4 linked regions of the Callithrix jacchus genome follow. The protein of the gene in region 1 interacts with the protein of each later gene in a biochemical or structural test. Links are inferred from orthologs where the notes say so. Each region holds a gene or a part of one and is shown in the gene's direction. Other genes may lie near its edges.

Evidence for each region.
Region 2: of the proteins of GTF2E1 (region 1) and CDK7, one has a biochemical effect on the other in vitro, tested with the Homo sapiens proteins (3 studies listed by BioGRID, with this or other methods). The link is inferred for Callithrix jacchus from reciprocal best matches to the Homo sapiens genes GTF2E1 and CDK7.
Region 3: the proteins of GTF2E1 (region 1) and TAF6 form a complex in vitro, tested with the Homo sapiens proteins (2 studies listed by BioGRID). The link is inferred for Callithrix jacchus from reciprocal best matches to the Homo sapiens genes GTF2E1 and TAF6.
Region 4: the proteins of GTF2E1 (region 1) and GTF2F2 form a complex in vitro, tested with the Homo sapiens proteins (2 studies listed by BioGRID). The link is inferred for Callithrix jacchus from reciprocal best matches to the Homo sapiens genes GTF2E1 and GTF2F2.

The regions. Positions count from the first base shown.
Region 1 is NC_133516.1:82,238,440-82,246,141, reverse strand, and holds the start of GTF2E1 (general transcription factor IIE subunit 1), read left to right. Parts: upstream 1-2,752; 5' UTR 2,753-2,803; intron 2,804-4,978; 5' UTR 4,979-5,079; intron 5,080-7,702. Other genes in the region: RABL3 (rab-like protein 3), read right to left, coding at 2,471-2,516.
Region 2 is NC_133503.1:140,266,956-140,273,803, reverse strand, and holds the end of CDK7 (cyclin-dependent kinase 7), read left to right. Parts: intron 1-294; coding exon 295-444; intron 445-3,783; coding exon 3,784-3,931; intron 3,932-4,344; coding exon 4,345-4,373; 3' UTR 4,374-4,543; downstream 4,544-6,848. UniProt on the Homo sapiens protein: Serine/threonine kinase involved in cell cycle control and in RNA polymerase II-mediated RNA transcription. Cyclin-dependent kinases (CDKs) are activated by the binding to a cyclin and mediate the progression through the cell cycle.
Region 3 is NC_133503.1:13,463,600-13,471,085, forward strand, and holds the start of TAF6 (transcription initiation factor TFIID subunit 6), read left to right. Parts: upstream 1-3,146; 5' UTR 3,147-3,631; intron 3,632-7,486. Other genes in the region: CNPY4 (protein canopy homolog 4), read right to left, coding at 1-42, 138-264, 627-744, 2,648-2,680. UniProt on the Homo sapiens protein: The TFIID basal transcription factor complex plays a major role in the initiation of RNA polymerase II (Pol II)-dependent transcription.
Region 4 is NC_133506.1:164,324,986-164,332,755, forward strand, and holds the start of GTF2F2 (general transcription factor IIF subunit 2), read left to right. Parts: upstream 1-3,804; 5' UTR 3,805-3,949; coding exon 3,950-4,015; intron 4,016-7,770. UniProt on the Homo sapiens protein: TFIIF is a general transcription initiation factor that binds to RNA polymerase II and helps to recruit it to the initiation complex in collaboration with TFIIB.

The DNA.
Region 1 (7,702 bases):
CTCTGAAAGGAAGAGAAAACCATATGGTAGTGAGACTTTTAGGGTTCCTTACCAAATTACCAAGTATCTCTATAGGATACAAAACAAATCTCCAAACACATTTTTTTCTTTGAGACAGGGTCTCACTCTATCACCCAGGCTAGAGTGAAGTGGCACCATCCTAGGTCACTGCAGCCTCAAATCCCTGGGCTCAAGCGATCCTCTCACCTCAGCCTCCCAAATAGCTGGGACTACAGGCATACACCACCATGCCCGACTAACTTTCTGTATTGTTTTTGGTAGAGACAGGGTCTAGCTATGTTGCCCAGGCTGGTCTTGAACTCCTGAGCTCAAGCAATCCACCCACCTGAACCTCCCAAAGTGCTGGGATTACAGGCAAAACCCACCTTGCCTGGCTAAGTCATTTCTTTATATATTTGTGAAACTCAAAATTTTATGAGGAAAATGGCCTTTATTAAAAAATAAGCTTTCGGGTTTGAACCAAAGGCCAAGGAAGTGTAAAAAGCATATTCTAAGCTGTCAGATCGTGTACTTTTAAATTGCAGTTAAAAGGAGACTGACAAAATTACCTTTTAAAAAGATTAAAAGACAGTAACTAAACTTGCACATAAAGCTTAACATTAGCAAATGTGTGACAACATCAATCACTTTCCTGGCTGTCATAGCTGTGTCTTCTGCTTTACAACTAAACCATAAGGGGAAGGGCGGTAGTGGGAAAGCTTACTAATTGCCTGGTTACTTTTCCACATTTAATGTAGCAGCTAATCCTACCCCTGTTATATAATGCATTAATTCCAGAGTTATAACCCCAGAACCTAAAACAGTGCATGTTGGAAAGAAAATAAATTGACTAGTTGCAGCAGTTTGTAATATGAAGGGATTGTTAGATACAACAGAAAATGGAATTATAGAGGACAGAAAACACCCACTTCACACATCATGAAGAAGTCTGTTAGTTCTCAATTCCAGTCTTAAATTCTACTTGGTAATACTCTTGCCAAGTCCCTTTAGGCCACCATTACTTTTTTTATCTGTAAAACTGAGTGATTTTATTAAATTAACTTTGGCACCACTTCAAGCTACCTGACAAAGAAATGAAGTTGACATAAATTGTGGTTATGTTCATAGAGTTTCAAAGGCAACTTTCTTAGGGGAATATTAAATAATTCTCTCTGTAAAATATTTCATAATGTAAATAATATTCAGGGCAATGTGAAAACATCCTTAATATATCTTTGCCTGCCACAATTTTATTTAGTTTCTGTAAGAGTAGTTTTTAGGCCTCTCCACCTCCAAGCATCTAGCACAATGTCTTTGCTCACAACACACGCTCTTAGGCCAACTCTAGAACCGCACATCCATAAAATGCAAAGTTAGCATTTTATTGAAGTTCTTAAGGAGTTGAATTATTTGAATTATGGAGGAAAAGATAAGGGCAGTGAGGTGGGAGCTGGAAATGCAGATGTCAGCGTCAGCTGTAGTTCTCAAATGTCCCAGGTGTCAAAAGAATTCCCTCCCTCCCTCCCTCCCTCCCTCCCTCCCTTCCTCCCTTCCTTCCTTCCTTCCTTCTTTCTTTCATTTATGTTTTTAAGAGGGGGTTTTACCATGTTGGTCAGGCTGGTCTTGAACTCCCGACCTCAGGTTGCATCCATTGAGATTAAAAAATAAAAAAGAGAGTCCTTTAGTAACCAGTAAACGGTTACTTTTGGACTCATTAAAAAAAATAAATAAAAGAAAAAAATAAAAAGAAAAAAGAATTTTAACGCTAGGATTAAACTGGGCTCAGCATTAAATCCTTGCTGCTTCAGAATAAAACTCTTTACTTTCTCTAGTAATAGGTTTTCAATGAAGACCAAACAAGGAAATAAAAAGCTCAGTTAACAATAAAACAGGACCATTACCCAGTATTTCATTGCATAATTATAGTTTAGCGTCTAAGTATGTAGACTCTGTGTTCAAAAGGATTCTGTCATTTACATCTCTCTGCCTCACTACTCTCACCTGTAAAATGGGTAATAGGACTGACCTCAGAATTAAATGAGTTAGCGTATGCCAAGCGCTTGCCAGTGCACGTTTCTCAATGAACGTTTGACTTCCTTAATGAACAAAATCTCTAACTTTTTGTTCTACTAACTTCTGTAGCCTTAACACAGAACCGGATGCAATACACAATGCCTGCCTTTTTTTTTTTTTTTTAAATTGAAAATACACGCTAGGTTGGTGTCGCCTGGGAAACCGATGTGGAAAGCCGCGAAGGCAGAAGGCCCAAGCTCCGCGACCCCCTCCCGCGCGCCGCCGCTGCCTCGTCGTCACACGGAGCAAAGTCCTCTGGGAAGTGTAGTCTTCAGGCCTTGGGAGGGACTTCAGACCCGTGCCGAAGAGCCAGGAAATTGAGGGAAGAAAGTTAAGGGGAGGGTTATTGGATAAGTCAAAAGTGTCTGGAGTCCCAGACATGAGTTTAGCCTCTCACCTGAGTCTCCCAACACCAGTACCTTCACTCGATCCAGGGAGGCCATCTTGCCACTGCCTTCTCTGGGTTAACGCCTGTTCCGGGATTATAAGCCAATCAGAGTTGGGCATGGAGGACAGAGCCTTCAATTTCATTGGCCGCTAGTAGCGTGACTCGCCTGATCGAAGGCTTCACTGAGCTGATTGGCTGGTGTGGTAAAAGGTATCGGGGTGTTTTCCAAAGCTAGTCGCAGAAAAGATGCGTTTTCTTTGTCGCACAAGGGCGTGGCTCATTTAAGCCGGTAGTTGAAGCTCTGAGGGCGGCTGTAGTGGGAGTGTTCGAGGATTCGCTTTGGTAAACCTTGTTCCCTGTTCCTTGTTCGGAGTTCCCTGGCCGGGCATTGCATTTTATGATTTCTCCTTCCTTTCGCACCCTCTTAATTATCCTCCCCTAATGAGTTACCCTCTTGCCTTGGTCCTCTAAAGAACCGTTGACCCGGAGCGGCCCGTGTGCGACCTCGGTTAGGCCGGGCTTGGCTGCCTCGAGTGTGGCCCTGGACCCAACTGGGAGAGTCTGAGGGAGTTTGGGGTCTTGGGGTCTCGCAGTCTCGCACTGGGGAGGCGTGCACATCACCGAACGCGTCTCATGTAGGGCAGTTGGATCCTAAGGTTTCGCGGTAGTCTGCCGCTATGTGTGTGAAGGCGTGCAAAGTGCCATGAAATATAGTAACAGAAAACCGCAGTTAGATGTGTAGAATCAAAGTTGTTCTAGAACTGGAGTAGTGGTATACTGAAGTAACCTAACTATACTCTCCGCATCCACTCTTTTCTCGTTTTGTTCTCCACTATGCAGTCAGCGCAGCCTTTTAACATCGGGAATTTGATCCACTCACCTCCCGCTTAAAACTATTTTAAATCTAAGAAGAGAGTGTCCAATAAATAGCCTGTCTGATTCTGCTGTGGAAGCAAGAGTGTGGAGGAAATGAAGTGCGGGGAAGCTGGCAAAATGAGCCATGTTGGAACAACACGTGCCTAGGAGACATATGGAAAGTTTTATGGAAGGGCTTGTCTGGCTATGCTAGAGGCTGGAAATTAATTGCTGAACAAGATAAAGTCTGGTCTTAGGTATAGAGACGGAGAAAGTACAAGAAGGGGAAAGAGCCATGGAACATGTGAAAGGGGATACTTGTATGCTACTATGGGGAGTCTGGGAAGACCTGCCTCTATGAGGAAATGTTTTTTGAGACTTGAAGGATGATTAAGAGAAGGGAGTTTGGGCTTAGCTGTAGGGGCAGAAGGAACAGCATGTGCAAAGGCCTGGGAAGTAGGGAAAGCACATGTGGCTTATGGAATTGAGAATATGCTAGTGTGGCTGGATATGAGGCTGACAGGGTAGACAGAGGGCAGAGGGTGCATTCTTTTCAACTTTGTTTCTGTAGCTCCGTGCCTGGTTGATGCACAGTAGTCCTTAAATGTTTATATGATTAAAATACACGAGGGTCTGGACTGGGGTAGGGACGTGAGGCTGGGAGATGACTCATGGACTGTGAAGATCAAAGGAAGAAACAAAGGTCCTGGGTGGTCCCATACTCACAAGTCTCCAGAGACCAGCCAAACTCCTTCCCTAATAATGCCAGCTGCTATTCGGCTTCAGCTTATTGTTTTCATGTCGGAACATGGGTTTTATTTTTCCTCAGATATTTTCAATTTTTCAAGAGGAGCTGGAAGTTGAAATGTATGTGAGCTCTTAAAATATTTTAATGTTGACAACTAATTCAGAAAATTTTTGAAACGTTCTTTGGGTGAAACAATGCGTGGGGGGCTGCCAGTTTGAGAACTCTTACCTAAGACATCTAGAGATTGAGTAAGGAGATTCAGCGTGAGTGGGAGGTGGTGGAGGAGAGAAAGCAGTGGTCAGGAAGGAGGATTTCAGAATGCGGAGATTTTGAACAAGGCGGCACAGCTTCATTTCATTCCTGAGCTCTAGTTTTCATTTGTTCTGCTACCTGCTGGGAATATTCAGAGGAATATCCTATGGTATTTCCTCAGAGACACTTCTAAAAGTGATTTCCTTATTTCTTCCAAATCTGCTCCTCGTCAGGTGTCACCTATTACTCATGTCAGTACTTTTCCCTTCCTAGGTATGCTGGCTCAAAACAGAGCTATTTAAGATTTTTCCTACTCTCATACTCTGTATGCAGTATATTTTGTTGGGTCCTTTTGACTTTTTTTCTGTAATAACTCATTCATTCTGTTCTCTTCTTGCAATTTTTTGCCTTCTTCCTTAGTTTAGGTTTTCTTACTATACCCCCAATACTTCCACAGTGCCTCCACCTTCACTCACTTGAGTCCATTCCTCATGCTGCTATAAGAGTCACTTTTCTAAATAGGGGATTTATTACAAATACCAATACTTCATTGAACTCTTATGCCAGCCCTGATGGTAGAACACTTTGCATTAATTATCTCACTGAGTTCACACATTAACTGTATGAACAGGGCACCGTTAATCACTCTTTTTTTTTTTTAGGGTCATGCCCTGTCACCTAGGCTGGAGTGCAGTGGCAAAATTATGGGTCAATGCAGCCTTGACCTCCTGGCTCAGTTGATCTACCTCAACTGGTACTACAGGTACATGGCATCATACCCGTCTAAGTTTTTAAATTTTTGGAGACATGGGGTCTTACTCTGTTGCCTGGACTGGTCTTGAACTTCTGGGCTCAAACAGTCCTCCCACCTTGGCCTCCCAAGGTGTGCAGTTACAGGCATTAGCCACTGCACCTGACCTGCTTACTTTTTATATATGAAGAAACTGAGTCTGAGAATTTTCTGGGGTCAGGGGGGGCTAAGAAATGCTGGAACTGGGATTTAAACTCCAAAACTGTTGGATTGTAGAATCCTTGACTCACTCCCTTTAGTCCTCATGGCTTCCTAGGGTGTTTTAGGCAAAGGAAACAGGCTCAGCATTAACTGGTACAGGGCCCTCTCCATGCAGGATGGGCATTGGCAGGATATATAGTAGGCACTTTCACATAGCAGAGTCACCTAAAGAGCTTTAAGAAATTGTGTGATGCCTAATCTGGCCCCTCCAGGTCACCTGAGACAAAATCTTTGGGAATAGGGCCCAGTGTCAGTATTCTTAAAATGTTCCCTAGATGATTGTGCCTTACAACCAGGCTTGAGAATTTAATCTGCGGCATGGCATGTATGGGCGGGTAAGGAGAATACAATAGTAGGAAATAATCCTGTAAACAGGTTATGTTGACATTTTTCTGCCATTCTTCGTTGAATGTTTCTGAAGCCATATGTTGTGTTCTGACAACTGTTGAAGATGTAAAACAATAAAAAACAAAACTGGGTTCAAGTACAATGTATAGATCAAACTGAAAAGGAGAAAAAGTGTGTCCAGTAGTATGCTGTGGTACTACTTTGGTGTTGAGCCCAGGCACTTGCCAGGCATCCTTAAGCCCTGGGGTAACAGGAAGTGCTCTAGGTTCACAGATTTGTATCTAGGTGCTACTTTGCTGTATCTTATTGAATATAGTCGTACCTGAGTATTCATAACCAAAAGTACATATTTTCTTTTAATTTTCCTATGTTGCAAGATGGGCCTTATATTTTCCTCCCAAAATATGTGCATAGATTGATTATAGATTGGTGTGTAGAGTTTCCTTGTAGTGTGGTACTGTGGATATCAAAATATTTCTTATAAAAAGGATATTAAATCTGTTAGGGTTGATAACCACTGATTTCAAATAAAAAGGTCAGTTGAAACTAGTATTAACAACAGAATATGATTCCCCATTGAAATAGTTGAATGGGATGTCTCTGTTAAAAATTATCCTGTGGAGCCTGGCCAAGATGGTGAAACCCTGTCTTTACTAAAAATTCCAAAATTATGTGGGTGTGGTGTTGCATGCCTGTAGTCCCAGCTACTCGGGAGGCTGTGGCAGGAGGATCACTTGAACCCATGAGGCAGAGGTTGCAGTGAGCCAAGCTTGCGCCACTGCACTCCAGCCTAGGTAAGAGAGCGAGACCCTATCTCAAAAAAAAAAATAATTATCCTGTGGGCTGGCTGTGGTGGCTCACACCTGTAATCCCAGCACTTTAGGAAGCCCCCAAGATGGGTGGATCCCTTGAGCCCAGAAGTTCAAGACCAGCCTGGGCAAAACAGTGAAACCCTCTCTCTACAAAAAATACAAAAATTAGTCAGTCATGGTGGTATGCACCCCAGCCTACTGGGGAAGCTGAGATGGAAGGATTGCTTGAGCCCAGAAGCTTGAGTCTGCTTTGAGCTGAGTCACACCACTGAACTCTAGCTTGGGCAACATAGCGAGACCCTGTCTCTATTAAAAGAAATAAAAAAAAAAATTCCCTGTGGACTAGCGAAATTTAACTTGATTTAATCTGTGTGGATAGCCTCACCATTTTTAGTTTGGAACATGTTAAGTTGATATGGAAGCTGTCCTTCCTAAGCACTTTAATTACATTCTTATTAATGACAACAATTTCACTGAGGTAGTTGATAACATCCTTATTTCTCAGAGAGTAAAGTGTGACTTGAAATTGTTTAAGGGATTTGCTCAGGACTACATAGTTACCGAAACACAGGCTGTCTACTCTGAAATTCAAAGCTCAGGTTCTTTTTGTAAACCACATGCCAATATGGGCTTTGAGAAGACAGCTTTCTGGGCCATGGCATGGAAATGAGATACACTTAGTTTCTGCTTTGCAGGGGATCCAATATTTAAGAATATTTTGGGCTGCTCTCCCTCACTTATTGTCTATCCTTTTAAGGACTGCATGGTCCTTACTTGATTATCACATTTAATTTTTCAAGGTTGGTAAAACTATCTGGACCTAAGTATTATTTTTTTCAGTTTTGCAACAGTGGTGATTACTTATGTGTTTATTGGTTTGTTGTGATTTTATTGTGAAAGCCCGACTATGTAAAACATCCTGGAATCTTGGTAGAAAAATTTTGAGAAAGGAAACACTTTTAGGAAATGCTAACTGTTAGGTTTCTCAGGGTTTCCAGCATTCCCAAAGAATGGTGAGCGTTTCATGTAGTTTTTTTCTGTTTCTTTTCTGAAATAAAATAGACTTGACATATATCGTTTCATAAATAAGAAGTTACTTTTTAATCAAACACACTGTAGATCATAACACACGTAGTATGGTACTGTGGATCTCAAAATAAAAAGTAGCCATTTTAGAAATATGTAAAGCTTTTTGGGTGTAATCTTTTGTGTAC
Region 2 (6,848 bases), on another chromosome or scaffold:
CATGTTTTGTTACATTTTTCACCTGTATTATTTTTCTTTTTGGGGTAATTTTAAATAGTACTGTGTTTTTAATTTTGATGTCCACACATTCATTGCTAGTATAATGAATTAAAATTGGTTTAATTTTCATTTTGTATCCTTCCAGCCTTGCCTTACTAGTAGTTCTAGGACTTTTCAATAGATTTCTTGGAATTTTCTATATAAACCATCATATCACCTGAAAATACGATTTATTTCATTTGAGATCTACATGGATTTCAACCTTCAGTTTGAATTATAAAATTATTTTTACAGGACATGTGTAGTCTTCCAGATTATGTGACATTTAAGAGTTTTCCTGGAATTCCATTGCATCATATCTTCAGTGCAGCAGGAGACGACTTATTAGATCTCATACAAGGCTTATTCTTATTTAATCCATGTGCTCGAATTACGGCCACACAGGTATTTTACCGTATCTTTTTTTATACTAGGAAATATAAAAATAATCTTAACTGTAGCATTGATAAAAATAGAATTTCATAAAATTAACCTTTTTTAAATACTGGAAAAGATGTGTTTTTGTTTGTTTTAGGAAATAACAAACTTTGTATTTTTTCCCCAAACAGCAAACACTGTTAAGACTGAGATTAAGTTATATGCACACAGAGATATAGGAGAGCTTACACTTAATACACTTGCTTAGGAACATATAAATACATATCTATTTCATATAATTGGTTTGTAAATACTTTACCTGGAGAGGAAAGGAAAACCAAGGCTTTTTATTTGTTAAGAAACTGAAAACTGTTTATTTTTTCAGTTGCACTCTTAAAAATTCATTTCAATCTTGTAGCAAGCCTAATGCTGAAAGTAATTTATTCAGCTTATTTTTTCTTCCCTATATAATGTAATCTGGGTATGCATACTGGTCATTTTCACATTCAGAAAATGGTATAATCAGATATGATTGTATGCTTACAAGAGCTTGAAAGATACTCAAAAACTGAAACCAACTGCTATTTAAAGGAGAAAACAATGAAACTCATGAAAAATTTGGAGGGCCTAGAATAACTTATAGCAGAGCACTGTACAACACAGTGCAGTGATTTTTACCTGATGAAGGGAGAGACTAAAGTGAAGTATCAGAAGCCTTTATGGAAACATATTAATGTACAGTAATATTAAGGATACAAAATAGATTCCCCCCCCTTAGGTTTGTTCCAGCTACAAAATCATTGTTTAATGCATTTGCTTGTATAAGCCTTCTCTTTTTAGCAATACATGCTATGTGTATATAGAAATGGATAGATGGATGGATGGATGGATGGATGGATGGATGGATGGATGGATGGATGCTGCGTATTTACCATTAGAATTACTCTTCTAATTTTAAAAAAAATTTTTGTTATTTTTATGTCCATATGTACACATGCTCTTCTAATTTAAGACAAGTAATTTGTTGCCTTTTCGCTCATACTTCTATGTATATAATTTCCATCATAATAAACCTGAGACCACATTTAATTATCTAGTAAGTTGTTTTCATTGGGAGTATAGTTTGAAACTTATAGAAAAATACTAGTTGTTATATTTGGGTTGTATTTTAATAGGATGAAGTTTTTAAAGTGAGTTTTTGTATCATGGATGTCTTTATTAAAGTTGGAATGAGTTACTTTCTTAGATCTTTATCGTGTCGCCCAGAATTAGCCTAATTTGCATATAAGACCACTGTGATTTAGAAGTAATGCTTTAAAAATCCAACTGTGGGCCAGGTGCAGTGGCTCACACTTGTAATCCCAGCACTTTGGGAGGCCAAGGAGCAAGGATAGCTTGAGCCCAGGAGTTGGAGCCCTGGGCAACATGACATCAGCTCTGCAATAAATAAATAAATAAAAATAAAAAATGCAACCGTTGAAGTAGAAATCTCTAAATTACTGAAAATAATATAATATTGGTGACAGTGGGGAATGCTTGAAAAGTTTATATGGGCTTCATTCTTCTTTCTTAAAGGATTATCCTAAAGGAAGTAATTCATTTTATTTATTTATTTATTTATTTGACCAAGTCTTGCGCTGTCACCCAGGCTGGAGTGCAGTGGTGTGATCTTGACTCTCTGAAACCATCAGCTCCCAGGTTCAAGTGATTCTCCTACCTCAACTTCCCTGTAGCTGGGATTACAAGCGCATACCACCACACCCAACTAATTCTGTATTTTTAGTAGAGACAGGGTTTCACCATGTTGGCCAGGTTGGTCTGAACTCTTGATCTCAGGTGATCCATCCGCCTTGGCCTCTCGAAGTGCTGGGATTACAGGCATGAGCCACCGTGCCTGGCCAGAAGTATTTTAAATCACTGTGACCACTGGACAGCACTATGCTGCATGTAAATAGACAAGCATGTGAACCCAGGAGGCAGAGGTTGCAGTGAGCTGAGATTGCACCACTGAACTCCAGCCTGGGTGACAGAGTGAGACTCTATCAAAAAAAAAAACAAAATTAAAAAGACAAGCATGACCTGACAAACTTGTCATTTAGAACATAACTATTTTTTATCAGAATTGTGGACCCAACTCAAGAAACTGTCATATCTACAGCACTATAGTAGGGGAAAAAAAGAAAATATATCATAGAACATTGGCCTGGTAATTAATAGAAATAATCTTGGACAAGCCCTTCCAAGTAAAATTTCTGTCCATTTGCAGTGGATTGTTGAATTAGAATCCATTGGTTCTAACCTGTATTTTTTTAAAAGCCTTATTTTTTAAGAATTTATATTTTACATGACTTGGAATTTGAACATATATGGATAGTGTGGCAAACTTGTAAGATTTTTTTAAGTTTCTCTCTTTGCATTTTGAACTGTAGAGCTCAATATGTAGAAAATGGAAATATATAATATTTCACTTAGGGTAGCTCATAATTAGTTTAGGTTGAGCAACCCTAATTCAAATATCCAAAATCTGAAATGCTCCAAAATCCAAAACTTTTTGAATGCTGATGTGATGCCACCAGTGGAAAATTCCACACATAAGGACATTAACAGAAAGTTTGTCAAATTAAAAATATTGTATAAAATTGCCTTCAGTTTATATGTATAAGCTGTATGTGAAACATAAATTTCATTTTTAATCTTGGGTCCCATCCCCAAGATCTCTCATGTATATGCAAATATTCCACAGTCCAAAATCTGAAGCAGTTCTGGGCCCAAGAATTTCAGGTAAGAGATATTCAGCCTGAGTAGGCTATTTAATTAAGGAAAAATTAGAAGGGAGTCTCTTTTTCTTTTCTTTTATTCTGAAGTAGAGCTTTGCTCTGTCACCCAGGCTGGAGTGCAAGGGTGTAATCTCAGCTCACTGCAACCTTCACCTCCCGGGTTCAAATGATTTTCCTGCCTCAGCCTCCCAAGTTGCGGGGGGACTACAGATGTGTACCACCACACCCAGCTAATTTTTGTATTTTTAGTGGAGACGAGGTTTCACCATGTTGGCCAGGCTGATCTCAAACTCCTGACCTCATGTGATCTGCCCACCTCGGCCTCCCAAAGTACTGGGATTACAGGCGTGAGCCACCATGCCTGAACAGTCTTTTTCTTATAGTAATGGAATTATCAACCAATCTTAGGATCCTAGATGTTTATTTTTAGTAATTTACATTTGCAAATACTTGACATTGTGTTTTGTTTTTGGGAATGAGGGCGTTTACATAGTATTTTTAATGCTCCCTATAATCTTGAGGGTGAGATTTTCCTTCACACATTTGAGGTACTCACCTACCTTACTTTTGATATCTTTTCTTTTAAAAGGCACTGAAAATGAAGTATTTCAGTAATCGGCCAGGGCCAACACCTGGATGTCAGTTGCCAAGACCAAACTGTCCAGTGGAAACCTTAAAGGAGCAATCAAATCCAGCTTTGGCGACAAAAAGGAAAAGAACAGATGCCTTGGAACAAGGTAAGATTCCCACTTTTATAAGAAATTAAATGAATTCAGAAAACTCCAAATAGCTCATGTATGTCTAGCAACTGAACAACAGCAAAGAAGTGTAGCTTGCTAGCTATTTAATTTCTACAAATTTAAATTGTAGAAAGTAGAGAGACTGTGCTGTTTTAGGTATGTTTACTTTCATTGAGAATACTTCAGGCACTTTTACATATACCTCAGAATTATGAGAACTCTCTATGTGTACCTTGTTCCCTTCATAAATCCCATCTGTCAACTGTATGCTAAATGCTTAACAAGTGCTATTGGAAAAATGTGTCAGCGAAATAAAATAATGTAGGTGGAAGCAGTGACTGGTTAAAATTGCTGTGAGAATGTGAACTTTGTTAAATGTGAACAACTTTTTTTTTTCTTTTGCTTTCTAGGAGGATTGCCCAAGAAACTGATTTTTTAAAGAGAACACTAGACAACATTTTACTACTGAAAGAAATAGTCAAAAAGGCAAATAATAGAAAAATAGTAAACATTAAGTAAATGCTGTAGAAGTGATTTTGTAAATATTCTACACATGTAAAATATGTAAAACTATGGGTTATTTTTATTAAATGTATTTTAAAATAAAAATTCTGTTTTTTTCTGAGTAGAGTGCAAAAGTGAGAAAAGTTCAATTCGCTTGAAATGTAGAATTGAAAATGCATTAGGGATGAACACATTTCAGTGTCTTCGCCTGTCAAAAAAAAAATGCATTAAGGAAAACTTAATGCAAATTATTACCAGTTATTTTGAAGATCTGGCCCATATAGCATCACAAATCTGTAGTAGCCTTGGTAGTGTTTAAAAATAGAAAGGTAGGCCAGGCATGGTGGCTCACACCTGTAATCCCAGTACTTGGGGAGGCCAAGGCGGGCCGATCACCTGAGGTCAGAAGTTCGAGACCAATCTGACCAACATGGAGAAACCCTGTCTCTACTAAAAAAAAAAAAAAAAAAAAAAATAGGGCCAGGCACGGTGGCTCAAGCCTGTAATCCCAGCACTTTGGGAGGCCGAGGCGGGTGGATCACGAGGTCAAGAGATCGAGACCATCCTGGTCAACATGGTGAAACCCCGTCTCTACTAAAAATACAAAAAAAATTAGCTGGGCGTGGTGGTGCGCCCCTGTAATCCCAGCTACTCGGGAGGCTGAGGCAGGAGAATTGCCTGAACCCAGGAGGCGGAGGTAGCGATGAGCCGAGATTGCGCCTTTGCACTCCAGCCTGGGTAACAAGAGCGAAACTCCGTCTCAAAAAAAAAAAAAAAATAATAATAATAATAATAATACAAAATTAGCCAGGCGTGGTGGCACGTGCCTATAATCCCAGCTACTCGGGAGGCTGAGGCAGGAGAATCACTTGAACCCAGGAGGCGGAGGTTGCGGTGAGCTGAGATCGAGCCACTGCACTCCAGCCTGGGCAACAAGAGTGAAACTCCATCTCAAGGAAAGAAAAAAATAGAAATGTTAGTAGTGGTAAAGTAAATACTACCCAAACTTAACAAATATGATGTACTAAAGAAAACATTACAGATAAAATTGAGGTTCCCCTTCAACCTTTTTTCTGAGGAGAGGACAAAGTCTCAGTGACACTCAGGGTGGAGTGCAGTGGTATACTCCCGGCTCACTGCAACTTCTGCCTCCCAGGGTCAGGCAATTCACTTCCCGAACAGCTGGGATTATGGGAACGCACCACTACACCTGGCTTTTTTTTTTTTTTCTTTTGAAATGGAGTCTTGCTCTGTTGCCCAGGCTGGAGTGCAGTGGTGCCATCTTGGCTCACTGCAACCTCTCCCTCCCAGGTTCAAGTGCTTCTCCTGTGTCAGCCTTCCAAGTGGCTGGGACTACAGGCTTACACCACCATGCCTGTCTAATTTATCTGCAATAGAGATGGGGTTTCACTGTTGCCCAGGCTGGTCTCAAACTCCTGACCTTGTAATCAGCTCACCTCGGCCTCCCACAATGCTGGGATCACAGGCATAGCCACTGCGCCTGGCCTTAAATTTTATTTTTATTTTTTGGTTATACTGATGAGAGGTTTTTGTGTTGCTCAGGTTGGCCTTGAACACATAGACTCGCCTCCTTGTGCGCCAGGACAACAGACCTGAGCCACTGTGACTCCCTGATTTTTTATATTTTTAGCAGAGATGGGGTTTCACCATGTTGGCCAGGCTGGCTTCGAATTCCTGACCTCAAGTGATCTGCCCACTTCGGTTTCCAAAAGTGCTGGGATTATAGGCATGAGCCACTGCACCTGGCCAGAGGATCCACCCCTAAATACTTCATTTTATTTCTATTTTTTTCCTTTTCATTCTCCCCAAAGGGAAATGACTCTTATGAAATTGTGTGTATCTTTCTGTGATTTTATGCTGCTATTTTGTAAGAATACATGTAGTAAGATGAATAACAATGTACGGCATTGTTTTGGGTCTCAGAATTGTATATAAATTGATAGAATCTATTTCCTTTTTTTTGTGAGATAGAGTCTTGCTCTGTTGCCCAGGTTAGAGTGTAGTAGTAGTGCAATCATGGCTCACTGCAGCCTCAAACTCCTCGGCTCAAGTCATCCTCCCACCTCAACCTCCCCAGTAGCTGCAACTACAAGTGTACATCATCACGCCTGGTTAATTTTTTTTAATGAGACAGAGTTTTGCTCTGTTGCCCAGGCTGGAGTGCAGTGGTGCAGTCTCAGCTCACTGCAACCTCTGCCTCCTGGAGTTAAACCCATCCTCCTGCCTCAGCCTCCCAAGTAGCTGGGATCACAAGTGTGCATCACCATGCCCAGCTAATTAAACACAAATGTATTAGCTCAGTTCTGTAGGTCATATATCTGGCTCAGCTGTGTTTTCTGCTTAAGGGACTCACAAGGCCAAAATCAAGGTGTCAGTCAGACTACACTTA
Region 3 (7,486 bases), on another chromosome or scaffold:
CGCTCACATAAATTCTCCAAGGCCTCTTCTAACCTTGTCTCTCTGTGGAAAGAGGGCAAACAAAGATTCCTTGGATGCTTTAGGAACTCCCAGCGCTCCTTTGGCGGTTGGAAGGTGGAGGAGCATGGAGGACTCACGACACGCTGTAAGGCACATGTTTCTTCCTCTTGCCTGTGTCCAGCACCTGCCCCAGCTCCAGCACCTCTCGAGATTGGCCAGTTCGACTCAGCTCCGCCTGTAGCTCTGTGCTCAGCAGCTTACACACTGGCAGGGAGGAGAAACATCCGGGGGAGGTGAAAGACAGACAAACACATCAGCCATTCATTCGGCAGATGACCTGAGGCAGCAGAACATTCAAGTGCATACTTGAGCCAAACTGGCTGGGTTGGAATCCTGGCTCAGCCATTTAGCAGCTGTGTGACAATCTTGCTACTTGCTGTGCCTCTATTTCTTCATCTCTAAAATGGGATAATAGGCCAGGCATGGTGGCTCATGCCTGTAATCCCAGCGCTTTGGGAGGCTGAAGTGGGTGGATCACTTGAGGAGTTCAAGACCAGCCTGGCCAACATGGTGAAACCCCATCTCTATTAAAAATATAAAAACTAGCCAGGTGTGGTAGTACACACCTGTAATCCCAGCTACTCCGGAGACTGAGGCAGGAGAATCACTTGAACCCAGCAGGCGGAGGTTGCAATGAGCTGAGATCCTGCCACTGCACTCCAGCCTGGACAATAGAGGGAGACTCTGTCTCAAAAAAAGTAAAATATGTTAAAAATAAATAAAATGGGATAAGAATCATCTGTCCCTCATAGGGGTGTGATGAGTATTAAATCAACATATACAGGCCGGGCGCAGTGGCTCACACCTGTCATCCCAGCACTCTGGGAGGCTAAGGTGGTCGGATCACAAGGTCAGAAGTTCGAGACCTACCTGGGCAACATGGTGAAACCCCATCTCTACTAAAAATATACAAATTAGCCAAGTGTGATGGCAGGCGCCTGTAATCCCAGCTACTTGGGAGGCTGAGGCAGGAGACACAGGAGGTTGCAATGAGCTGAGATTTTTGCCACAGCATTCCAGCCTGGGTAACAGCGTAAGGCTCTTGTCTCAAGAATAAAATGCTGGGCACAGCAGCTTACACCTGTCATCCCAGCACTTTGGGAGGCCAAGGTGGCTGGATCACAAAGTCAGGGGTTCAAGACCAGCCTGGCCAAGATGGTAAAACTCCCTCTCTACTAAAAATACAAAAGAAATTAGTTGGCATGGTGGCAGATGCCTGCAATCTCAGTTACTCAGGAGGCTGAGGTTGTAGTGAGCCAAGATGGCACCACTGCATTCCAGCCTGGGTGACAGAGTGAGACTCTATCTAAAAAAAAAAAATTACACACACAGACACACACATATACGTATATATAAATAAAATGGGATAATAGTCTGTCCCTCATAGGAGTGTGATGAGGATTAAAGAAACCAACATATATAAAGGCTGGCACATAGTGAGCACTGTATATGTATTCACTGTTATCCTGCAGTTATTGAGCTCCTTCTGCATTCACACTAACAATACAGACAGCATTAAGACCTATTATATCTATCTACGGGTCTCCGTCAGTGTAGTTGGGACAGAAAAACCTAGGATGACAAGATATGGTGAAGCTGGTCCTGAACTCATGGGCTCAAGTATTCCTCCTACTTTGGCCTTCCAAAGTGCTGGGATTACAGATGTGAGCTACTGTGTGCAGCCCCTTTGGCTGTATTCTGATCAAAGGCCTGCAGAGGTTTTAAAGCAAGGACTGATACAATTAGGTGATTAAGTCTGTGTTTAAAAAGGCTGACAGGTCAGGGGAGAAGAGTGGGACACGGAGGTGAAAAGAGACAGAGATGAGGACTACGTCATGAGAGTATCATGACCACCTTTCCTGACTTTACGTTTCTTCCCTCAAGAATCCAGGGAAGAAACGTGAAGTCAGGAGGGCAGCAAACTAGGGGATCAGGGCCAGCTCTGAAGTGCCCCCTTTCTCAACTGGGCCCCACACTAGTGCAGCTACGGAAAGTGCTGCTTGCTGAAAAATCCACATAGTACACACCGTCTGCAAAGTCTCACCCGGATGGGGAACCTCCCCTAGTCGTGTGGCCTCCTGTTGTTTTTGAGCTTGAAGGGCAGAATTACTCACCCTCAAACCCCGTCAGGGGTCGTGGGGCCTGTAATTTGGGAGCGTCTATGCTAGGGTGGGGCAGCAGATGTCCACAAGGCCTGAGCCTCACAGAGCTCCTGCAGCCTCTGCAGATTAAGGTCTGGTGACGGGAAACACGCACTGAAGATGCTCTAAAGTTGGCAGTCCAGGGCCAATGGTCCCTGAACTACAATTCCCACAATCCATTGGGGGGGGGCGGGGGGGTCCAAGTCAACCAAAAAAATGCAGGCTCTCTTTGAATGCCTCCTGGGAAGTGCAGTGCCATAGCTTTGGGGCGGCACTACACGTTTGCTTCCTTGACCCCATCCATTCAAATTCAGCCAAGCTCCACCAGAACCTCCCTCAAGCTTTCAAGGAGTTCAGGTGACCCACCCAATACAGTCCAAGAGGTCCGGCCTAGAAGAAGGAGGTGTGGCCGGGCGATGCCAACAGGGGCTACCCCCTTCAGATACCTTCGCATTTGCTGGGCAAACGTTCTGTGTCATCGTCCTCTTCCTTCGGCTTCCCAGCCCAAGCCCCGTGCACGGCCAAAAGGAAAAGCAATATTCCCAACCACATAGGTCCCATGACAAAGCGCCATCCACAAACAACCATCGCTTGCTTTCAAACCAACTTCGGGAAGGCAGTGGGTCCTTTAAATGCCCAGGCGGCTGGCGGCAACCTTAAATCCAGCCTGGCAAGGTCGGCGCACGAGCAGAATCAGCTCGGTAGGGGGCGGGGCCTCATTGCTCTGAGTTTCTCCGCCTCCGTTTTGTGGCGCCTCTTCAAGGTCCTGGCAGCCGGGTAGTGAAGGAATAATTTGCAGTAATTCAACCAAGACGGAATTCTTCTTATATGTAGATGTTTAAACAAAATTTTAAAATATAATTTCATTCCGTGAGTCCAGAGAACGTATTCTGGCACGGGGAAGCGGTAGCGATTTGGACTTCCGCTCTGCCAGGACCTGCTCCTAGGAGGGGGCGGGGCCAAGATGGCGCCCAGCGCCGGGTGAGCGGCGTCTTGGCGGCGGCCAGAGTTTTCCTGCTCCCAGCGTTCGGCTGGCGGGGGCGGGTCTGAGTGGTACTCTGGAGGAGACCCTTTGAAGGTCCCTTGTGGGGACTAGAAACAAGACGGTTGGTTGTGTGTCCGTGCTCGTGGGGACCCCGTGTGTGTGTCTGCATTGGAGAGATGTTGCAGGAGATGAGGTGGGCTCTCTGAGCCTCCTTTCGCGCTCCCCGGGGATTTTCGACCTGCTTCTCTGCTGGGATCCCGCTCAAGTTAATCCTCCCCTGGGACGCCTTCCTGCCGCCTCCACTGATCTGAGGAGATCCTGTGACTGTAGCGTGTTTTATGAGCCTTTACTGACAGAGGGTACCGCCGGGTATTGAAGGATTCGTAAGAGTTCGCCAGGGAAGTGGGACACGACCGCCTCTTATAAACGCGGCGCCAGGCACAGAGTATGTCTCGAATAATTGTGTTCCCTATAGATAAGACTTTAAAAAGTTGGGGAGGAGACCAGGGATGGTTTGAAAAGAACCAGTTTCTTCTTCGGCCTCCCTCTTCCCATCCTTCCAGCACAGCCCCACCCTACCACCTGTACTATTCCTGAACAGTATTGATGTTAATCTTCCTAATGTCCAGCTCCAGTGTGCCACTTGACTTTTTTTTTTTTTTCCTTGAGACAGGGTTTCTGTCTGTTGCCCACGCTGCTATGGAACTCCTAGGCTCAAGTGATCCTCCCACCTCAGCCTCTTAAGTAGCTGGGATGACAGGTCCACCATGCCAGGCTAATTTTTCAATTTTTTGCAGAGATGGGGGTCTCACTATGTTAAGCAAGCTGTTTCAAACTCCCATCCTCAAGTGATCCACCTTCCTCTGTCTCCCAAAGTGCTGGGATTACTGGAGTGAGCTACCTTGCTTGGCTCCATTTTGTTGTTTTTTTAAGACTGGAGTCTCCCTCAGGCGCCCAGGCTGGAGTGCAGTGACATGATCTCGGTTCACTGTAACCTCTACCTCCTGGGTTCAAATGGTTCTCCCACCTCAGCCTCCCAAGTAGCTGGGACTACAGGTGGCCACCCCCATGTTCTGCTAATTTTTGTGATTTTACAAAAAAATGGGATCTTGCCACGTTGACCAGGGTGGTCTTGAACTCCTGACCTCTGGTGATCTTCCCACCTCGGCCTCCCAAATTGCAGGCGTGAGCCACTGCACCTGGTCTACTTTGCTTTTAACTGCAGTGTAGGCTCGAAGTTTGGACCTGTGACATATTTTCTTAATAACAGCAATAACTAGTAGTTACCGAGTACCAACATCTCTAAACCTTACAACTAATTCATCTACTTAACAAATATTTATGATGTCCCAGGCTGGGATCCTGGAATACATTAGTGAACATAATAAAGTGCCCTGTCAGCTGGGCATGATGGCTCACGCCTGTAATCCCAGCACTTTGGGAGGCCGAGGCAGGCGGATCACCAGAGGTCAGGAGTTCGAGACCAGCCTGAGGAACATGGCGAAACCCCATCTATACTAAAAATACAAAAATTAGGCCGAGCACGGTGGCTCATGCCTGTAATCCCAGCTACTCGGGAGGCTGAGGCAGGAGAATCACTTGAACCCACGAGGCAGAGGTTGCAGTGAGCCGAGATTGCGCCACTGCACTCCAACCTGGCGCCTGGCGACAGAGCAAGACTCTGTCTCAAAAAAAAAAGAAAATAGGAAAATTAGCCTGCTGTGCTGGCACATGCCTGTAATACCAGCCACTTGGGAGGCTGAGGCAGGAGAATCGCTTGAACCCGGAAGGCAGAGGTTGCAGTGAGCCAAGATCGCACCACTGCACTCCAGCCTAGGCAACAGGAGTGAATTCCATCTCAAAAAAATAAAAAGCAAATAAAGAGCCCTGTCTATATGGTGTGTGGTGGGGGTAATAAACAATAAGAAACGATACAACGAATTAGAAGGTTTTTTTGTTTTTTTGAGATGGAGTCTCACTTTGTTGCCAGGCTGGAGTACAGTGGCTCACTGCAACCTCTGCCTCCTGGGTTCAAGTGATTCTCCTGCCTCAGCCTCCCAAGTAGCTGGGACTATAGGCACATGCCACCACGCCCAGCTAATTTTCATATTTTTAGTAGAGACAGGGTTTCACCATGTTGGCCAGGATGGTGTCAATCTCTTGACCTTGTGATCTACCCGCCTTGGCCTTTCAAAGTGCTGGGATTACAGGCGTGAGCCATTGCACCCAACCCAGATGTTAAATGCTATAGAAAAGAAAAAGTGGCATTCATTCAAAAAAAGAAAAGAAAAAGTGGGCTGCTCCCACTCTGAGGGCAGAGTGCAGAGTTAAATAGGGTGGTCAGGGCAGACAGGCAATCAGGCATTCTGGAAGAACATTCCAGGCAGAGGGAATGGAGTAAAGGCTATTAGACAAGAGTATGCCTGGCAAGTTGAAGGGGCAGCCTGAAGGAATATGTGTCTGGATCAAAGTGGAAGCAGGAAGGAAAGGCAGTCAGAGATGTAATGGGAGAAGGCAAATTTTGAAGGGCTTTGTAGGACATTAAAAGGATTTTATCTTCTTTTTCTTTTTTCTTTTTTTTTTTTTTGAGAAGGAGTCTTGCTCTGTCACCCAGGCTGGAGTACAGTGACATGATCTTTGCTCACTGCAACCTCTGCCTCTCGGGTTCAAGTGATTCTCCTGCCTCAACCTCCCTAGTAGCTGCAATTATAGGCGTCCGCCACCATACCCATCTAATTTTTGTATTTTTAGTAGCGATAGGTTTTACCATGTTGGCCAGGCTGGTCTTGAACTCCTAGCCTCCCAAAGTGCTAGGATTACAGGCATGAGCCACTGTGCCCAGCCTCAGATGGGGTTTATTATGTTGACCACGCTGGTCAGGAATTCCTAAGCCCAAGCAGTTTTACCAGCTCAGCCTCCCAAAGTGCAGAGATTACAGGCATGAGCTGAGCCACCACACCTGGCCATTATAAAGATTTCAGGTTTTACTCTGTGGCAAGTGGAGAGCCATTATAAGGGTTTGAGCAAAGAAATGACAATATGCTTTACAGTTTGACATTAGCATTTTGGCTGCAAAGTTAGGAACAGATGTAGAGAGAGACAAGGGTAGAGATCAGTGGACCTTGTCTGGAGGCTTTTAGAGTTACCAGGGGATAGATGATGGTGACCTGGGCCAAGCAGCGAGAACAGGACAGTCAGGTTGGACTACTGGGTGGATTTTTTTTTTTTTAATCTTATTATATATTTTTTGAGATGAAGTGTCTCTGTCGCCGAGGCTGTAATACAATGGCACAATCTCAACTCACCACAGCCTCCACCCCGCAAGGTCAAGTGATTCTCCTGCCTCAGCCTTCTGAGTAGCTGGGATTACAGGCACGCACCACCATACCCGGCTGAGTTTTCTGTTTTTAGTAGAGACAGGATTTCTCCATGTTGGCCAGGCTGTTCTCGAACTCCTGACCTCAAGTGATCTGCCCACCTCAGCCTCCCAAAGTTCTGGCATTACAGGCCTGAGCCACCACCTGGTGGATCTGATGTGAAGGCTTAGATAAAGAACAAGTGCCTGGACGGATGGCAGTGCTGTGCAGATAAGGAAAGCTGAGGCTGGGCCAGGCACTTCAGCTCATGCCTCTAATTCCAACACTTTGAGAAGCAAAAGCTGGAGGCTCCCTTGAGCCCAAGACATCAAAGTGCTGGGATTGAAGCCTTGAGGTATAACAGAAAAAGAAATATGGGCTGGGCCTGGTGACTCAGGCCTTTAATCCCAGCACTTTGGAAGGCCAAAGCAGGAGGATTGCATGAGGCCAGCAGTTCAAGACCAGCCTGGGCAACATAGTGAGACTCTGTACCCCCCCAACAAAAAAAATTAGCTGTGCTGATAGTACACATCTATAGTCCCAGCTACTTGGGAAGCTGAGGTGTGAGCACTGCTTGATCCTGGGAGCTTCTGAGCCCTATCAGTCCTCCCACCTCTGCCTCCTGAGTAACTAAAACTATAGCTTTAAGCCTGCATGCCCAGCTAATTTTGTACTTTTTGTAGAGATGGGATCTCACTATATTGCCCAGGCTGGTTGCGAACTGCTGGGCTCAAGCGATCCTCCTACCTCAGGCTCCCAAAGTGTTAGAATTGCAGGCATGAGCCACTAGGCCCAGCCCAGAGGTTTTTTTTTTTGAGGTGGAGTCTCTCTGTCACCCTGGCTGGAGTGCAGTGGTGCAGTCTTGGCTCACTGCAACCTCTGCCCTCTGGGTTCAAGTGATTCTCCTGCCTCAGCCTCCCTTGTAGCTGGGATTACAGGTGTGC
Region 4 (7,770 bases), on another chromosome or scaffold:
GCCAGGCACAGTGGCTCATGCCTGTAATCCCAGCACTTAGGGAGGCTTAGGTGGGTGATTGCTTGAACCCAGGAGCTCAGGCCGTGTCCTCTTGGGCAACATGGTGAAACCCTGTCTCTACAAAAAAATAGCTGGGTGTGTTGGTGTGCACCTGTAGTCCCAGCCACTTGGAAGACTGAGGTGGGAAGATAGCTGGAGCCCGAAAGGTCGAGGCTGCAGTGAGCTGTAATCACGCCATCGCATACTCCAGCCTGAGTGACAGAGCAAGACTCTGTCAAAAAAAAAACAAAAAACAGTAAAGAAGGTTGGGTGGCCTTGAGGTCTGACCTAAATCTAAGCCCTAGATAAAGGTGGAGTTTCAAGTTGCCCGAAGCACTACTAGACTTTTTGGAAAAATTGCAGCCAGCAGAGTTCTTGGGCCAGAACTGCATTTACGCCTTACAAATTTTGATAATTACTTGACTAATCATCTGAGTGAGTACAACATTTTGGTGTAACCGTTTTTGGGGCACTGTCCTCTGCGTCTTATGCTCTGTGAGCCCCATCCTGGGATATGGTCTCAGATCCTGGATGTTGATATGTTTAATGACATATAGAGCTATATTAAGGAAAAGTATTATCTACTCTGGCACACTGTTACAAGGATTAAATGGGATAATACAGAAAACAACTAGCCGAGCATCTGGCATATAATAGGTGCTTAGGAAGGTGAGGGATCTGCCTGTAACATCTATCGCCCTAAGGGTCTCCTCAGTAAATCTGTGAATCTGGTTCACAGAGGCTGCGCCCTCCTTTTCTCTCACGGTTCTATAAACATCCCTCTTCAAGCTAGAAGGCCTTTGAAAAGGACAGACTGGAGAAGCTTGCTCTTTGTTCAATAGTGTATGAGGAAGAGGTTGCTCAATAAGTTGTTTTATTCTTTCTTCTATATAATCCTTTTTAAATCTCCACTTTTCCTTCTCTCTTTTTTTTTTTTTTTGAGATGGAGTCCCACTCTGTTGCAGACTGGAGTGCAGTGGCTTGGATCTTGGCTCACTGCAACCTCTGCCTCCCAGGTTCAAGCGATTCCCTGCCTCAGCCTCCTGAGTAGCTGGGACTACAGGCACACACCACTACTCCCAGGTAGTTTTCTGTATTTTAGTACAGATGGGGTTTCACCATGTTGGCCAGGATGGTCTCGATCTCCTGACTTCGTGATCCACCCGCCTCGGCTTCCCAAAGTGCTGGGATTACAGGCTTGAGCCACCGCGCCCAGCCTCTTTTCTTCTCTAGCCTTTTCATCAGCCATTTTTCTCTCCCAATCTGTGCACGCGCGCATACACACACACACACACACACACACACACACACACACACCATACATTTTAAAGCCTCCCATGACCCAGAGGCGAAGGCCAAGTTTCCAATCTTTAAAGTCCATTCCTGGGGTGCTCTAGGCTACCTTGCTGCTCTTCTCCCATGGTCTCATATTTCTTTTTGTTGTTGTTGTTGTTATTTGGTCTTTATTTCATAATCATAAACTTAACTCTGCAATCCAGCTAGGCATGGAAGGGAACAAGGAAAACGTGGAACCCAAAGGGAACTGCAGCGCACAGATTCTAGGACACTGCGAGCAAATGGGGTGGAGGGTGCTCTCCTGAGCTACAGAAGGAATGGTCTGGTGGTTCAGGTAAAATACAAGTCAAACTGACTAAAGTTGTCCACAGTCGGCAGTGGTGATCTTCTTGCTGGTCTTGCCATTCCTGGACCCACAGCGCTCCATGGCCTCCACAATATTCATGCCTCTTTCACCTTGCCGGAGACCACATGCTTGCCATCCAATCACTCAGTCTTGACAGTCAGATGAAAAACTGGGAACCGTTTGTGTTGGGTCCAGCATTTGCCATGGATAAGATGCCGGGACCTGTGTGCTTTAGGATGAAGTTGTCATTATCAAATTTCTCCCTGTAGATGGACTTGCCACCAGTGCCATTATGGCGTGTGAAGTCACCACCCTGACACATAAACCCTGGAATAATTCTGTGAAAGCAGGAACGCTTATAACCAAATCCTTTCTCTCCAGGGCTCAGAGCACGAAAGTTTTCTGCTGTCTTTGGAAACTTGTCTGCAAACAGCTCGAAGGAGACATGGCCCAAGGGCTCACGTAGACGGCAATGTGGAAGAACACGGTGGGGTTGACCATGGCTGATACTACAAGGCTCCAGGCGGTGGCGGGGTCTGCAAAGCCTCATATTTCAATTTATTCCTTCTACTTGATTAAAGCTTAGAGCAGTTCCTTTCACCCACTTACCCTTTATATGTTTTAGGCCCTTTCCCAAGTTGTTGCACAAGAAGAAATCTTCATTTTCTACTTAAATTTTTTTTCTTTTTCTTGTTTTTAGAGATGGGGGTCTTGCTATGTTGACCAGGCTGGTCTCGAACTCCTGACCTCGTGATCCACCCGCCTCGGCCTCCCAAAGTGCTTGGAATACAGGCATGAGCCACCACACATGGCCGAAACTTTCATTTTCAACACACTCCCAGTCTCTCCCATCTTTCCTATTAGTTTTGCTAGCTAATTGTAGAGTTCTGACAGCTTTTCCTGGCCCTATGCTGAACATACGTAAAATTTCCTCAATTTTGTTCATGGCTCTGATGTATGACTCAAAAAATTACTTGCCATTCTTAACAATACCTTATTGTTTCTCTTCAGCGAATGTTCTTTCAACCAAAGCCTACTGAAATCTGACGATGTATCAAACACTGTACTAGACATTGTGGAGATAAAATGAATAAAGCACTATTTTTTATTTGTCAATTATACCTCAATAAGGCTCTTTTTGCCTAGGACCAGTTCATAGTCTGGAAAGCAAAGGCAGACATGTAAACATACATATTACAGTGCAGAGTGCTAAGTATCACAGCGTGATGTGAAGAAAAACTAATTTCTTCCGGGGGAGTTGATAAAAGGTGTCACAGGAAGTGACATTTCCGTTGGTCTTGAACTACAAGTAGGAGTTTGGCAACCAGAGGACAGGGGTGGGAATGAGGGTAGGGGTAAAACAGGGCATCTGAGGGAAGGGAATCCAGTGTGCAGAGGCTCTGAAATGACCGAGGAAGATTCTGACGTGTTCAGGAAAGTCTGCTGGGTTTGGTGTGGTTGGGTGGGTGGTGGAGTGATGGGTGGTGGTGGAGGGCCCAGTTGAAGCAGAAGGGTTGAATTTTATTCCAGAGGCAAGAAGAGAAAGAGAACATCGTTTACGCAGGGGAGGAAACGACCAAGTTTGTCTCTTACTTGTTCATTTCTTCACAGACCTCCGGGTTTTGGAGTCTGAGGTGCTCTGCTCGCTTAATCAGAAGAGCTCAGGCAGCCTCCGAGCTGAAACACCGCTTTCTTTTCAGGTCTAGAAACGGCATGTGTTCAGTACCAGGGCTACCCAGTCTGATCCCAGTGCCCACCTGTGCTAATGACGTTGGCCAAGGACGCCCATTTGCTACCCAGATCCTGCCCTTCAAATACTGTCTCTCTCTCTCTCTCCTCTCTCTGGCTAGGACTGGACATGTTCTGACAGCTCTTGTCTCTTTGAACCCCATTTTTTCATTCTGATAATCTTTTTCTTCAGTTATGCTGACCTTGTCTTTAAATACATTGCTAACGTTTTGGCTCATCCCAACCAAGTTTCAATCCCTCTGATAGACATCGCTGACAGCCACGCCCACCCGAGAAATTGCCGACACAGGAAGTTTGTCCGCAACAGGGCGCCGTACTGACGTAGTAATACGCAGGCGCAATCCCAGCTCCCGGCGGCGTGTTCCCCTTTCCGCGGGTTTCCGGTGTCCGGGCCGGTGAGAAACGCCGGCTCTTCACCTCTCAGCGCGGCTTAGCGCTTTGCTCCGGACGTTCGCTCCGCAGCCCTCCGGCTCCTGGGGTCGCTGCTACAGCCCGCGCGCCTCCACCAGCGGCAGACCCATGGCCGAGCGCGGGGAACTCGATCTGACCGGCGCCAAACAGAACACGGGAGTGTGGCTTGTCAAGGTAACGTTCGCTGCGCGCTCCTCCCAACACGAGTATAGTTTAAGTAACTTGAACCCATCCGGCTGCGTGCGCCTCTTAAAGTTCTTTTACGGCTGTCTCGTTAGAGCTTCACGTACTTTGAGAGGCAGGAGGCATTGCTGTATGTTTGCAGATGAGGAAATCCGTTTAGGCGCGCCAGTTACGAGTCTGAATCCACCTGGACTCGTCTCTTCTTCTCACGGCTTTCCTGGAGCCTCGTCCTGATGTCCCCGGTTTGGACGGTGCATTTTATCTAGGACCGAAGAATTCCTTGTGTCTTCTCTTGGTGAAACTGCTTTTAGCCATGAGCCTGTGTGGGGTAGTTGAATGTCTGTTTTCTGTACATTTTTCTCGGCGAGAAAGTAGAACCGGTCCATGCGTACCCTTAAAGTGTTGTGTTAGGTTGATGGTCCTTAATGGAGCTCCGAAAAGAGGCGAGACAGCTCTCAACTCGCAGGAGACGTCATTGGACTGGGATATTCTTTGTTTTTTTTTTTTTTTTTTTTTTTTTTTTTGAGACAGAGTTTCACTCTTGTTACCCAGGCTGGCGTGCAATGGCGCGATCTCGGCTCACCGCAACCTCCGCCTCCTGGGTTCAAACAATTCTCCTGCCTCAGCCTCCTGAGTAGCTGGAATTACAGGCACGCGCCACCGTGCCCAGCTAATTTTTTGTATTTTTAGTAGAGACGGGGTTTCACCATGTTGACCAGGATGGTCTCGATCTCTTGACCTCGTGATCCACCCGCCTCGGCCTCCCAAAGTGCTGGGATTATAGGCGTGAGCCGCCGCGCCCGGCCTGGAATATTCTTTTAGAGCACAATTGGGTCTCGTGAAACTGACCATCAGTAAGTGTTTTACGTAAAGACAGCGATTTTGGTTAGCTCACAGTGGGCACTACTCGTGCTTCACTGTTTCATGTTGGGGAGTGTTGTCTCCTAGGGGAGGCTCATAATACTTAGGCATATTCGACATGTGATCCTGAAACTCATTGAAACTTAAAATGTAGGGACTTTTGGTTTCTTAATGCTTTCGCTTATTTTATCACATGGCTGAGTTCTCGTCAATTATATCTAAGCGGTCTTCCTTGTCGGTCTTCCTAAAAGAGCTCCCTTATGATCATTTGCTAACATGACATATCCATGTTACATTCCTCAAAGCACTTTTCACGGTGTAGAGTGATTTTGTGTTAATATGTGAAAAGTTGGTTACCTTCGTCTTTCCAACACAAAATTGCATTCCGTGAGAACAGGATCTTTGCCTGTTTACCCAGAATAGTGTTTGGCACATGGTAATTATTCAACAAACAGGTGATGAATAAATGCCTGACCTCTCACTCTTCAACCCTTGCCTTAGTCTGTGGCACTCATTTGACTTATTTCAAAGCTCAGTATGACTTAAAAGAATGGATTAAATAGGCCGGGCACGGTGGCTCAAGCCTGTAATCCCAGCAGTTTGGGAGGCCGAGGCGGGTGGATCACGAGGTCAAGAGATCGAGACCATCCTGGTCAACATGGTGAAACCCCGTCTCTACTAAAAAAAAAAATCAAAAAATTAGCTGGGCATGGTAGCGCGTGCCTGTAATCTCAGCTACTCAGGAGGCTGAGGCAGGAGAATTGCCTGAACCTAGGAGGTGGAGGTTGCGGTGAGCCGAGATCGCACCATTGCACTCCAGCCTGGGTAACAAGAGCGAAGCTCCGTCTCAAAAAAAAAAAAGAATGGATTAAATAGGCATTTCTCGCTCCAGCAGCATGTTAATTGGAGGAGAGTCACTAAGGAAGAGATGATCCTTGCAGACTGAAGGAAAAAGCTTGAAAACATAGTGTGACTGGAGATGGTGCCGTTGTCCTAGGAGCATGGTAAATGCTCAATGTTTGCCTTACATGATTTGGATGGGTAGACATGGTGTATACCATGGGGAGTGGAACAGAAATGCAAGACTCAAAATACGTAATCGTGGAAAACATGGCATGTTTTGGCATGTTGTGGAAAACAGACCCTAGAGCAGAAGATCTGTGTAAATAAAGGTTGGGCCCATATACTCAGACTGTCATGTCATGAAGTGGAAATGTTCTAACTTTAGTTTACAAGGAAGTAACAAACTTTTTGGAGGACTTGAGTGAGGTAGCGACGCCAGGTATTCAGAAAAAAAATGTTTGGCAGTGTGCAGTACGAATTAGAGAGGAGGGCAACCAGAGTCACAATTAGAAAATTATCACAGGATTGGGCTGGGCCTGGTGGCTCACGCCTATAATCCCAGCACTTTGGGAGGCTGAGGTGGGCAGATCACGAGGTCAGGAGTTTGAGACCAGCCTGGCCGATATGGTGAAACCTTGTCTCTACTAAAAATACAAAAATTAGCCAGACATAATGGCACATGCCTGTGGTCCTAGCTACTCGGGAGGCTGAGGCAGAAAAATCGCTTGAACCGTGGAGGTGAAGGTTGCAGTGAACCAAGATCGTGCCACTGCACTGTAGCTTGGGCGACAGAGAGATTCTGTCTCAAAAAAAAAAAAAAAAAAATCACAGGATGCTAGGTACATGATAATGAAGCTTAGGAGTTAGGGAAACTTTGAGTAAAATTGTCAGGATTTGCTGACTCACTCAGAAAAAGAACTCGAGCAAAGTAATTATAATGTTTTGATTACTTTTTGTTTGCAGCCTCATTGCTTCTCATACCAATTTGGCATGCAGTATTTCTTCTTTTTCTAATCTTACCTATCAAAGAAGTGAAGAAACATGCAAATGCATCTTTTTAGGGTGTGAAGAGGGTGTGGTAGATCTTGTGCCCAAACAACCTTATCTCTGGAGGATGAGAATTACTAGCAAATACTTTTTTTTTTCCTTTTTAAGACAGGATCTTACTCTGTTTTCCAGGCTGGAATGCAGTGGTGCCATCACAGCTCACTGCAACCTCTGCCTCTGGGCTCAAGCGATCCTTCCACCTCAGCCTCCTGACTACCTGGGCTTACAGGTGCACACCACCACACCTGGCTAATTTTTTTTTGCTATGTTTTGTAGAGACGGGGTTTTGCCATGTTGCTCAGCTAGGCTGGTCTTTTTTTTTTTTGAGACAGAGTCTCACTCTGTCGCCAGGTGCCAGGCTGGAGTGCAGTGGCACAATCTCAGCTCACTGCAACCTCCACCTCCTGCGTTCAAGCAGTTCTCCTGCCTCAGCCTCCTGAGTAGCTGGGACTACAGGCACATGCCACCACATCCAGCTAATTTTTGTATTTTTAGTAGAGACGGGGTTTCACCATGTTGGCCAGGATGGTCTTGATCTCTTGACCTCATGATCTGCCTGCCTCGGCCTCCCAAAGTGCTGGGATTACAGGCATGAGCCACTGAACTTGGCTAGTGAATACCTTTTGTTCTAAAATCTATTCATGTTACCCCTTTACTTGACAACATTTATCTGTGTTCTAAAGTAGTACTAATAGGCAATGGGGTTTGGTATACACACCTGTCAGATAGTTTGAACTTGCTACATTTGCACTGGGGTTAGCATTCAGTGTGATTTCCATGCCTGTATCTTCAGTGTACTTGGATTTTCATTTCTGAATTATAGGAATATATTATATGAAACAGTACATCAAATTGTGTTAGTCTACTTCATTTTCAGCATGTGTGTGATATTAAAGTGTAACTTGAGCCGTGCGTGGTGGCTCATGCCTGCAATCCTAGCACTTTGGGAGGCTGAGGCAGGTGGATCACCTGAGGTCGGGAGTTAGAGACCAGCC